Canis lupus familiaris: one gene and its partners. The protein of the gene in region 1 interacts with the protein of each later gene in a pairwise test. Links are inferred from orthologs where the notes say so. Each region holds a gene or a part of one and is shown on either strand. Other genes may lie near its edges.

Region 1 (3,645 bases):
TCTTTTTATTGTCTGATTGCTGAGGCTAGGACTTCCAGTACTGTGTTGGATAGTGGACATCCAGGCCATGTTCTTGGCCTTAGGGGAAAAGTTCTCAGTTTTTCCCCATGGAGAATGATATTCACCATGGGCTTTTCATATCATTGTGTTTTGATTTGTATTTCACTGATGCCGAGTGATGTTGAGCATTTTTTCATGTATCTGTTGGACATTTGTATGTCTTCTTTGGAGAAATGCCTGTTCATGTCTTCTGCCCATTTCTTGCCTGGATTTTTTGTTTTTTGGGTGTTGAGTTTGATAAATTCTTTATGGATTTGGGTTACTAGCCCTTTATTTAATAAGAGATTTGCAAATATTTTCCCCCATTCTGTAGGTTGCCTTTTAGTTTTGCTGTTTCCTTTGCTGTGCAAGCTCTTTATCTTGATGAAGTCCTTATAGTTCATATTTGTCTTTGTTTCCCTTGCCTTTGGAAATGTGTCTAGCAAAAGGTTACTGTGGCCAGGGTCAAAGAGGTTGCTGCTTGTGTTCTCTTCTAGGATTTTGATGGATTCTTGTCTCTCATTTAGGTCTTTTATCCATTTTGAGTCTATTTTTGTGTATGGCATAAGAAAGTGGTCCAGTTTCATTCTTCTATATGTGACTGTACAATTTTCCCAACACTGTTTGTTAACTAACTAGAATTTAAATAAGAACTTAAAAAAAATTAACCTAGAACCCAGTTCAAGAATCCATGGTTTCTTTTCTACTCTGTAGCTAATGGATCAGACATTGATAGCCTTATTAACAATAAGGGTTCTGTACCTTGTACCTGTTAGACTTGACTCCCTGGCTTCCTATTCTCATGAAATGGAAACATTGTAAATGACATCTGACTTTTTTCTGAGTATTTTTTAGATTCTGCAGGAAGAAAAGAGAGAATTAAAAGCAACTCTTCAGTCTCAAGAAAATTTCATGCATGAGGAAAGAATGCAAAAGGAGAAGCTACAAGCAAAGTTAAAGCCAGCTGACACTCAACACTCAGTAGAGGCCATAAGGTATATTTAATCTTAAATATTAATTGTAGCCACCTGGTGGTTTGGCATTGAGCACCAGTTTTAGTATTACATATTCATAATTTTGTGTTTGATCATGTTATGGGTTTTCTTATTCGGTTTTAATTTCTGAGTTAAATTTTTATGGTTTTATAAAATTTTGTGTGATTTGGGGGTTTTTTTTTTTTTGGCTCCAATTTGGGTCCCTAACCAAAAGACTGTAAAAATAGAAACCAGTTGGTCAAATCTATACCCTCGGTGAAACTTCAAATGTGAAAGGATTTGGAATCCATGTCTCGTGGAAGGTCTCTGTTTCTTGGTAGAATAGGTCATGATTAGTAACTGCTTATCAACATCATTAAAAACCAGCTATCGAAATGGCTAATTTTTAAAAAAATCCTAAAACACATTTTGTTCCTATGTGTGAATTATTTCCGTGAGGTTTGTAGTGGAAAGTAATAGAAGGAGCTATGCTCCTTTTGTTTGATTTAGGTCTGGTACGCGTTTCTATTCTTGCCAGAACTTTTCTGTAACTTTTCAGTTTCTTTGGCTCAAGGTATCGAGTGGAAACAAAAGTTTTGTCATTTTGTCTTTTTCCCTTGAAAAATGGGCCAAATCCTAGTTGAGAAAGGAGTAAACTGCTGCTGACTTTTTTGAGAAGCATCATTTCTTCAGCTCTTTAGTCTAAGTGTTCTTTTCATGAAGCAGGAGACAAGCTGAAGAGTTCCAAAGAGTTTCATTACCAAAAACAATAGGAAAATATGAACTAATTGTGCATTGTTTTATTTGCAAAGATCAGAGGCCTTTAACCATCCTCCTCTGTCCTTTTTTAGGTCACTGCAGGAGTCACAGACAGCACAGAGGTACACCTCACAAGGACAGGGGGACTTAGGCAATGTGCTGTCCCAGCTGGATTTCACCCACAGTAGTGAAGAACTTCTGCAGGCAGAAGTGACTCGTTTGGAAGGCAGGTAGATAATTACATGCCCATTTCAAGAATGTTCAAGTTGTTAAAAATTATTTTTGATCATCATATTGATAAAGTAAAGTAATGTAACAGTCTTAGGGAAGGGGTGCCTGGGTGTCTCATTGGTTAAGCATCTGACTTTTTTTTTTTTAAGATTTTATTTAGTTATTTATGAGAGACACAGAGAGAGAGAGGAAGAGACAAGGAAGAGACTCCTTGCAGGGAGCCCGTTATGGGACTTGATCCCAGGATTCCGGATCACGTCCTGAACCAAAGGCCAGATGCTCAACCACTGAGCCACCCAGGCTCCCAGCATCTGACTCTTGATTTTGGCTCAGGGTCATGAGATTGAGCCCTGAGTCAGGTTCTACATTCAGTGGAGAGTCTGCCTGTCCCTCTCCCTCTGCCCCTCTCCCCACTTGTGCACACTCACTCTGTCTCTTAAATAAATAAATAAAATCTTTGAAAAAAATAATCTTAGTAAAAAAATAAGTTTTTTTTTTTCTCTAGCATCCACAGATAAAACAGAAGCAATGAAAGGAGGGCTTCCTAATTTTTCTACCACCAAATCTACCAGTCTATCTGCATCTGTGCCCATAGTCTGTTAGAGTGGATGAGTTGATGATGGATGACATGTCTCTTCCCCTAAGACTTCACTCACGTCCTTTTGCACAGTTTTTTATTTTCTTTTTACATCATCAAGTTCTGCCTCACTGCTAAATCATTCCTACTGATATAAAGTAAGCTTTAATATTTCCCATATTGCAAAAAAATCGAAACCATCCTTGAATCCTATATCCCTATCAAATTATTTCCATATTTCTCTGCTCTCCTTCAAAATCAGATTCTTCAAAAGAGTTGTCTATACTGACTATATTAATTTTAATTTTACATTTTCCTGTGTAGAACATCTTCAGTTAGGCTCTGCCCTCTACCAGCCACCTCACTGGAGCTGCTCTCAGCAAAGCCATACCTGGCACATGGTGCTCCTTACTTCCATCCCAAAGTGCTGTCAATTATTTCCTTGGCTGCCGTTTGAATCCACATCTCTGCTATAGCATGCCCAGCTCACTTGCTTCGTCATCATACTTGTAAACTTCTGTTTTGTTTGTCATACCTCTAAACTTTGTGACTGGGAAGAGGTTGATATTTTGTTTTAAATGCGAATTGTGCTCATTTGTATACTAACATTTTCTATATGTAAAAGGTTTAAAAATATATGAATTATTAGCCTTTAGACAACAAAAATATTGCCATTTTACCCTTTCAAGTTTATCTTTAGGTGATACTTTTTTTTACTTTTTATTTCTGTTTTTGGAAATCATCAGATATTTTCTTTACATATTAAATACTATGCACACACATAGTTTTTGCTTTATTTGTTCTGTACCTTAGAATACTTAAGATATTCTTGGTTATCGTTATTGAGGTGGATATATGCACTTTATATTGAATAAAATAAAGTTTATTATTCTTTCTTTTGAGAGAGAGAGAGCATGAGCAAGGGAAGGTGGGATATGGAGGGCAGAAGGAGAAGGAGAATCTTAAGCAGGGTCCACCATGCTCAGCACCAGCCCGATGTGGGGCTTGATGTCACAGCCCTGAGATCATGACCTGAGCTGAAATTAGTCTTGATTAACTGACTGA
Region 2 (4,126 bases), on another chromosome or scaffold:
GCCTCCCCCACCCCTCCAACTTCTGAACCTCTGTACAAACCCTTAGGCTGCCTCCACAGGTGAGTGCTGCTGGGGGTAGGGCTGGGCCTACCCTGGAGGGGTTCTCCCTCTGGGCTGCAGGAGGGAGGGAGGGAGGCTGAGGGCTGACTGCCTGGGAGGGCCCGGGCCCAGTCCCCCCACCCTCTTTGGCCTGACCAAGGCACCTGAAGCTCTGGGGACTTCTGGCTGAGGTCAGCAAAGGCGTCACCTAGTGCATGCTGGGTCTGCAGCAGGCTGTAGAGGTGGGCTGTCAGTGCCCGGCCCAGCTGCAGGACACTCTCATACTTGCGCTTCGTCTCACGCAGCAACTCAATCTGCAGCTCTAGCTCCAGGTCCACAGTCCGGGAGCCTCGGCCAAATCGCTCTGATAACAGCTGCTTTGTGCACTGATTGGGAAGTGGGGGAATAGGTCAGAGACCCTAGCACCCTGCCCCCCCAACAGGTATCTACCCTAGCATCCCAAGGCTCCTCGTCTCAGACAAGGATGGGAGAGTGGAATCTGGAAGATGGGGAAAAGGTACCCAGGGGAAGTCTGGGGAAGGGGAAAGGGAAAGGTGCTTAAATCCCACCTTATATGTGTTGATGCCCCATTTCTTGACGATGTCAAACTTTTCTCCAGCGATGCCCCGAGCCACCTCATCTCCCGGGCCAGCAGGAGTGGTACTGTGAGATGGATGGCGGCCAGACCCTAAAGAACCAAGTTCTTTGACACCAGCCTCTCTGATATAACCAGACATCTCTGTGGCTCCACCCATACTTCCCACCGACCCCACTATGAAATGACTTTCCACCGACTTCCCACCATGAAAATGACTTCTCTGAAGTAGCAGAAACTAGAAATTCTCCTACTCACTAGGAAGAACTCATACCTTGTGCCCTGAAACCCAAATCCCAATATATATCTGGCCTCCTCCTGAGATGGTGATGGGGGCTGGAGTGGGGGGAGGGAGGGAGTTGCTGATGTACAGGGGCAGAGAAAACAGAAGAAAATATGCTGAGTATTGGGTGGCAGGTCAAGGATGGTGGGTTCCTGACAATAGGAAATCTCATTGACGTTCTCATGTGGAATCCTAGTCAGTGTGAAATTCAGGGCTATTTGCTTCTCTAAACTTGAGAATCTGAAGCAAAACTTTGAGAAGCTTCAGAGTTCCAAATAAGTCTCAAGCTCCAAAGCAGGAGAACTTCTGCAAAACAGTTCGTAATGTGATTCAGGTGGTGGCAGCAAAGAAAGGACAAATGGACACATCTCAGGGCTAAATGGCAAGCGGGAGCAGTTGGACAGCCCTAGGCTCTAGCCTTGGGCTGAGTAGAGTCCATTGGGCTTGTACTAGCAAGAGTTCCCAAAATCTCCAGACATAGTTCAAGCTATCTTAGGCATATCCTATACTCCCCAGAACCATTCCACTCCCTCTGTCCATTCAAGCTTCCTGTCCTGTTCTGATCATTCATACCTGTGGGGATGAGTCCATCACCAGAGCCCCCATAGCCACCAGACACAATGCTGGTTTCATTGAGGTTGGGTCCTGACACCATCACCTGCTGGAGGTCCTATAGGCCAGAGAAGAGGGGGGCTTCAGGAACATTGGGGCAGCTGAAGCATTTGGGGGGTGAGAACAAGCTTGGATTGAAGCATCACAGAGAGAGCACACAAGGGAAGTCTGCATAGAATCAGAATGAAGATATGTAAAGATTGGAGGGAGTTAGATAAGTTAGGGGAAAACTCCTGGAATGGGGTGAGAGCCCAGGGCTTATGATTTTGGACTCCTAAATTGAAACAATATGGAGAAGAATCAAACAGAAGCACCTGCTCCAGCCCATCATCCTCAGGAAGCTGCCCGGCTTCACCGTTCCCGTGGATGGGGATCTCCATTGTGGCTGCCTTCCCTAGGATCCCGTCCGTCATGGCTAGGGAAGGGATTGGAGTCAAAGTCTCCACCCCAGCGCCCTGCAAAGCCCAACACAGACAGTTCTGGAAACTAGCCAGTACTCCCGAAAGAAAAGTCTCCCCCACCATTTCAGAGATTTTAGAGGTTGTCCCAAGACTTGAGTATCCTGGGGTTCGGCCACCACTCCTTTCTTCTCGTAGATATGTATTTCTCCCCTCCAGGGTGTGTATCTTTCCACATGCACACCCAGGTCCCCAGTATCTTCTCACGGACCCCCAACCCCACCAGGACTCAGGTGATCACTCATGCGTTCAACCATTCAACAGACTACTATTTGAGGTCACAGCAGTGGCCAAGGGAGAGAAAGTCTGTGCTGTTTTGGAACTTACCCCCATGCAGCTGTTTCCTCCCATCAGATTAACCCCTTTCCAGGGCTCAGGAGCCTACTCCTCCCGCTCTGGTATGTTCTCCATTGCTTGGCCTCTCACACTCCCTTAGGGTTGCTTCCCCTTTCCTTCAGGTGGTCTCTCCCTCCTCCATCCCATGCACCCCCTCCTCCTGCAGCCCTCCCCCTGCAGGCCCTAGTTGAATCAGTTGGTGTCCGTTCTTGGCCTCTGGGAAAAGCCACATTTTCCCAGCACATAGTGATCCCTTCCAAAGTCAGTTATGTCCCCCAGGTGTGTTAGTCCCCGCCCCCCCCCCACCCCACACCTGGGCATCAGGTGTGTCCTCATCCTTCCCCAGGGCTCTGTAGCATCTTTCCCTCGGGGCAGGCTCGTGCATTCAACTTCCCCTTGCCCAAGTATGTCCTTCTCACCTCGGGCCGGGCCGCTCTTCCCCTCAGGGCGCCAGGCCCGGGCCGCGCGGGGACCTCGGGCTCCAGTTCCCGTCGCGATCCTAGCAGCAGGTCAGGGACTCGGCGGAAGTGACGTCCCCTCCCGGGCAGAAGAAGCCGGCCACGTCGCAGACTATAAGGGCGGAGATGACGTTAAAGCCAGGGGCGGGGCGATCCTTGAGGCAACCCCTCAGTCCCCGGGGAGCCAGGAGAGGTCACTTCCGGGGCGTTACCAAGAGGCTGTGCGGAAGTGACGTGCGTGCGCCGGTGGCGCGATGGAGCCGCAGCAGCAGCAGCAGCAGCAGCAGCAGCTGAGGAACGTGAGTGGGTGCTAAGTCGCGACGGGGCCATCAGTTCAGCTGGCATCTTCGTCCGTTTGGCTGGAGGGCGGAGGGTTGGGAACGTCGCGCTCTGGCGCGCCGTCCTGGGAAACCTCGAGGGCGCGGCCTCGAGGTGCCCCCTTATCGCTGGGCTCTTTGTCCCCTTCTCTCCTAGTTGCGGGACTTCCTGTTGGTCTACAATCGGATGACGGAACTCTGCTTCCAGCGCTGCGTGCCCAGCTTGCACCACCGAGCTCTGGACGCTGAAGAGGTTAGGTGGGGTTCGCCGTAGACTGTCCCCAACCTCCACCGCCCCTACCTCTGGCCCGGGCCTTTCCATGACCCTTGCCCCTGGGCCAGGGATGGGACGGACACCAGTGGACACCAATGCTTCACCCTGTCTTCCTTCCAGGAGGCCTGTCTGCACAGCTGTGCTGGGAAGCTGATCCATTCCAACCACCGCCTCATGGCCGCTTACGTGCAGCTCATGCCGGCTCTGGTACAGCGCCGCATCGCAGACTACGAGGCTGCCTCAGCTGGGCCAGGTGTTGCTGCAGAACAGCCCGGAACCTCACCATCAGGCAGCTAGGAAGGGAGGCGCTGGATGGACCCTCAAACTGAAGGAGCCAGTGGACCTTGGGCTGGATGCAGCCCATATATAGAGTGAGGGGTTGTCTGACAGCTGGGTAGTATTGCTCCTTTTCTTGGAGCCAATAAACCCACTTTTGCACTGTTTGATTTATGTTCTGGGCACGGAAGCTTTGCCCGCTTTATTGGCCCCATCCTTTATCCTGTCAGCGCATATCTGTTGGCTTCAGCCCTGGCAGTGGAGAAATTGGCTTCTATGTGTAGAAGGAAAACCTCAACATTTCCTGGCACCTGGTTAAAACAAGGCCTGTGGGTACAATTTTTTCTTTTGTAAAGAGTTTATTTATTCACGAGACACACAGAGAGCGGCAGAGACATAGGCAGAGGGAGAAGCAGAGGCTCCCTGTGGGGAGCCCGATGCCGGACTTGATCCCAGAACCCCAGGATCCTACCCTGAG
Region 3 (4,260 bases), on another chromosome or scaffold:
TAATTAAAGTTTTTCTTTCAAAATCAAGTATCAGGTAAATGAAGTCTACCATTCACATGGAGTACTAGAAGTAAACCAACTTACTTAACAGAAAACTGAGAACCAGTGAAATTAAGTGACTTAACCAACACACCACGTCAGTTGGTGCCTGAGTTTTTCAGTCATACTAAGTCATTGACAAATGAAAGGGAATTTTATTTTTTGAGGCTAGAAAAAATAGAAGGTAATTTGAGAGAAAGAGTTTTCAGGGAAAAGAAGGCCTAAGAGGAATCTCCAAAATGTCAAATGGGAAACTTTTGTCAGCTAAGCCGGCATGACGACACTGGCATGCAAGCAAGACTCAACAAGAGTTAACAAGTGGGAAAGTGTCTAGAAGAAAAAGGTTCTCACTATTAAGAAAATGAAAACAACCCATAGAATGGAAAGAAACATTTTGCAAATCACATATATGATATGGGACTTACACCTAGAATATATAAGGAACCCTTATAACTCAATGGTGAAAAAAACAAGTCACTTTAAAGGATTAAAATAGACATTTCTCCAAAGATAATATACAAATAGCCAATAATCACACAAGACAATGCTCCACATCAGAAAAGAGAAATGCAAACCAAATCCATGAGTTATCACTTCAAACCCACTTGACTGGTTATGAAAAAGATGGACAATAACAAGTATTGTTGAGATTGTGGAAAAAATAGAACCCGCAAGTCGCAAGCTAAAATGGCCCAGCTGCCTTCAAAACTAGTCTGGCAGTTCCTAAAAAGGCTAAACTTAGAGTTACCATATGACCTAGCAATTCTATTCCTGGGTATTCACCTAAGAAAAATAAGAATATAAGACTACACAAAAATCTGTATAGGAACATTCACAGCAAAAATATGAATAGTCAAGAAGTGGAAACACCCGAAACGTCCACTAACAGATGAATAAAATGTAATAAATCCACTCGACGGAATATTATTAGGCTACAAACAAGTATGAAGTCCTGACATATGCTACAACATGGATGAACCTTGAAAACTGAATGCTAAGTGGAAGAAGACAATCACAAAGGGCCACATGTTGATGTTGTCTGCTTTCATTTATATGAAATGTGTGGAACATGCAAATCTATAAAGACAAAAGAACAGGTTAATGTTTGCCTAAGGCTGGAGGAGATAGTGACAAAGACGGGAGGGAATAATCCTAAAGGGTACAGGGCTTTTTTGAAGGGGGATGAAATGTTCTAAAATTAACTGTAGTTATAACTGCACAATTCTCTGAATATACTAAAAACAACTGTACACTTTTAAAAATGTTTAATACATCCAAAAATGTGTAATGTACACTTTTAATGAGTGACTTCACTTTTAATGAGTGAATTATACGGAATGTGAATTATATTTCAACAAAGTTCTTAACAAAAGAAAAAAAAAAAACAGATAAGTTCCCCAACCAGGTCTTGTCTAATAACTCGAAGGAAACTTAAGAGTGGCTGACAGATGTCTCAGTTAAATTATTAAATATATTTTTTTAAATTTTTATTTATTTATGATAGTCACAGAGAGAGAGAGAGAGAGGCAGAGACATAGGCAGAGGGAGAAGCAGGCTCCACGCACCGGGAGCCCGACGTGGGATTCGATCCCGGGTCTCCAGGATCGCGCCCTGGGCCAAAGGCAGGCGCCAAACCGCTGCGCCACCCAGGGATCCCCAGTTAAATTATTAAAATGGCAGTATCTCTGGTCATGAGTCTGGCTCTGGATGTTACGATAAAGGTTTGGAGATTTGGCATGGGTGGCAGTGGACACTCAATAATATAAAGGATAGCCTTTACCCTAATCGTAAGAATGATTTAAAAAAAAAAAAAAAACCCTCACCTAACATTATATAGTTGAATAAAAGAGAAATGGTTGGTAAAGAACAAATAATCAGGGTAGCCCGCGAAGCGCAGCGGTTTAGCGCCGCCTTCAGCCCAGGGAGTGACCCTGGAGACCCGGGATCGAGTCCCACGTCGGGCTCCCTGCATGGAGCCTGCTTCTCCCTCTGCCTGTGTCTCTGCCCCTCTCTCTCTCTCTCTCTCTGTGTCTCTCGTGAATAAATAAAATAAAATCTTAAAAAAAAAAAAACCCACCCAGATAATCACTCCACAGGTCTGATAAACAACCTCTGTTGCTGCAGATTTCACTGAAGTAAACGCTGGTCCTTGATAGGGTTGTGAAGAGACCAGCAGATGGTCATTCATGTTCAAGGGGCCAGAAGCTGACTACGTTTGGGCAAAAGTGGTTTAGCTGGAGGTAAGGAATGAGCGCAGTATTACCCTAGGGACGCAATTCACAAACTTTATTGAGAATAACAAGGACATCACTAAATCAAGACGCAATGGGCCATTGTCCATTTCGCAAGCATCTCTTAGAAACAAAACGCGGCAACTCAACGGGCTACAGCACTCGTTCGAAAGAAAGTTAAAGTCCCACTGTATAGATTCCTCCAGCCACTGAGTTCACCTTCTGTCTAAAAAGCGCAATAACCGCACTTAAAGGTCGTATAACGAAGAACGAGGAAATCTGTGGGAATCAAAACTGCAAAGAAACGCGTAGCTCTGCACGGGCTTGGAAATCAAGGTGGGCAAGAAGTCCCCAGGTGGGTGACGGGGAATCAAACGTACCTCGAGTCACCCGAGGGAAGAGGCGAGGCGAAGGAATCCCGGGAACTGCATTTCTGCAGGTAAACCCGGGGTGGGCGACGCCGCCCGGAGGCTCCCTGCGACCCGAACGCGGAGGCGGAGAAGCGCGGGCGGCCGCGCCGCCAGCTCCCCGCGCTCGCTCCGGAGCCCGCTCCGCGTTTCCATGGCTAACGTCAACTCCCGCGCGCTCCGCCGCCGCCGAGGGCTCGCCCCGCCCCTCGGCTTGCGCTCGCCTCAGGGGCGCTTCCCCGCTCGGCGGCTGGGCGGGGCGAGGCGGGGCTGGCGGGAGAGGCCCACGCTCCCTCCTCAACCCGCGACTGCGGGCGGCGGGAGCCTCTCGAGTTCCGGCCGCCCCCGGGGCCGCGAGGCCTCCACCCGGACGAGAGAGAAGGGGCTCAGCCTCAGCCGTGCACTTTCACCCGGAGCCCCGCCCCTACGCAAGAGCGCCGTTTCCCTGGTGACGTGACGTGTCCGAGGGGCGGGTGGCGCTTTCCGGCCGATTGACGTGCGTGCGGCCGCCATTTCGCGAGCTTTGGCTTCCCGGGGGTCTGCCCGCCGACTTCCGCTAACCGCGTCCGCGCTTTGCCTGTCCCTCCGCCGCTCGCCGCGGGTGATGCTTGCTTTTAAGGGCCGCTTCCTACGTCCTCTTCGGCTTGGAAGATTGGAGCTGAGTCGATGTGCCAGCGGTGTCCTTCACTGCGTCATTGCCACTAAGGAGGCGTCTGTTTAATAAGGCAAAGCCCCCCCTGCCCCCCCCCCCCCCCGTATCCTAATCGGAACAAAACAATAACAAAACCAAACCCCGTGGCGGACTGTTGTACTTAGAGGCAGTTTAAGATGCGGGAGTCTCTACAGGGTGGCCACAGAGTCCCAGTCCCAGTCCCAGTTTTGCTGGTTTAAAGTTACACGCCCAATGGAGTTAGAGTCCTTGCCCGTGTTCTGGACATCTTCCAGATTGCCAGTTGGAAGCCCACGAGGCGGCCCCTTAGAGCGTTAAACTGGTTCATTGGTCTCCAGTGATTTAGAGGCTCTTTGAGGGAACTCTGAAGCCCATTTGTCAGTATTGAGGTACTTGGGTTTCCCTAAGTGATTGACACTCTAGCAGTTGTGCCTACTTGGGACTCCTGAGCGCTCCAGGACGGCCTTGTTTGGGTCTCTTTAACCTCAAGGCTGTAAATGCAGCCTTTGTTTGTTTTCTGGCTTTCCTGGAGATGATGTCTTAGTTCTTAAATATCTAGGTTTTCAGGCCATAATAGGACGACTTTTTGTGCTAATATGAAAAGAAAGCCAAAGCATTCTTTTATATATAGATATAAATATATGTAAAAGGTACTACTCTATAGATATAGATACCTATATACAAAAGATACTACTCTATTCAGAGGGAAAGTGTAGTTTATTTTACGTGTGTGGAAGACAACCCTGTGCATTTTTTTTTCTTTTTTACGTTTATTTATTCAGAGAGAGAGAGAGAGAGAGGCAGAGACATAGGCAGAGGGAGAAGCAGGCTCCATGCAGGGAGCCCAACATAGGACTCGATCCCGGGTCTCCAGGGTCACGCCCTGGGCTGAAGGTGGAGCTAAACCGCTGAG

The links. The genes of interacting proteins can lie anywhere in the genome.
Region 2: the proteins of CEP63 (region 1) and ARFIP2 interact in binary tests that used the Homo sapiens proteins (3 or more experiments, as listed by UniProt). The link is inferred for Canis lupus familiaris from reciprocal best matches to the Homo sapiens genes CEP63 and ARFIP2.
Region 3: the proteins of CEP63 (region 1) and PCNX4 interact in a two-hybrid assay, tested with the Homo sapiens proteins (2 studies listed by BioGRID and IntAct). The link is inferred for Canis lupus familiaris from reciprocal best matches to the Homo sapiens genes CEP63 and PCNX4.

What each region holds. Positions count from the first base shown.
Region 1 is NC_049244.1:31,806,275-31,809,919, forward strand, and holds part of CEP63 (centrosomal protein of 63 kDa), read left to right. Parts: intron 1-894; coding exon 895-1,034; intron 1,035-1,864; coding exon 1,865-2,002; intron 2,003-3,645. UniProt on the Homo sapiens protein: Required for normal spindle assembly.
Region 2 is NC_049242.1:30,303,436-30,307,561, forward strand, and holds the start of ARFIP2 (arfaptin-2), read right to left. Parts: upstream 2,894-4,126; 5' UTR 2,743-2,893; intron 1,985-2,742; 5' UTR 1,943-1,984; coding exon 1,844-1,942; intron 1,588-1,843; coding exon 1,491-1,587; intron 728-1,490; coding exon 609-727; intron 426-608; coding exon 204-425; intron 1-203. Other genes in the region: TIMM10B (mitochondrial import inner membrane translocase subunit Tim10 B), read left to right, coding at 3,036-3,080, 3,256-3,351, 3,493-3,669. UniProt on the Homo sapiens protein: Plays a role in constitutive metalloproteinase (MMP) secretion from the trans Golgi network. May have important functions during vesicle biogenesis at certain cargo subdomains, which could be predominantly utilized by secreted MMPs, such as MMP7 and MMP2.
Region 3 is NC_049229.1:35,488,338-35,492,597, reverse strand, and holds the start of PCNX4 (pecanex-like protein 4), read right to left. Parts: upstream 2,894-4,260; 5' UTR 2,651-2,893; intron 1-2,650.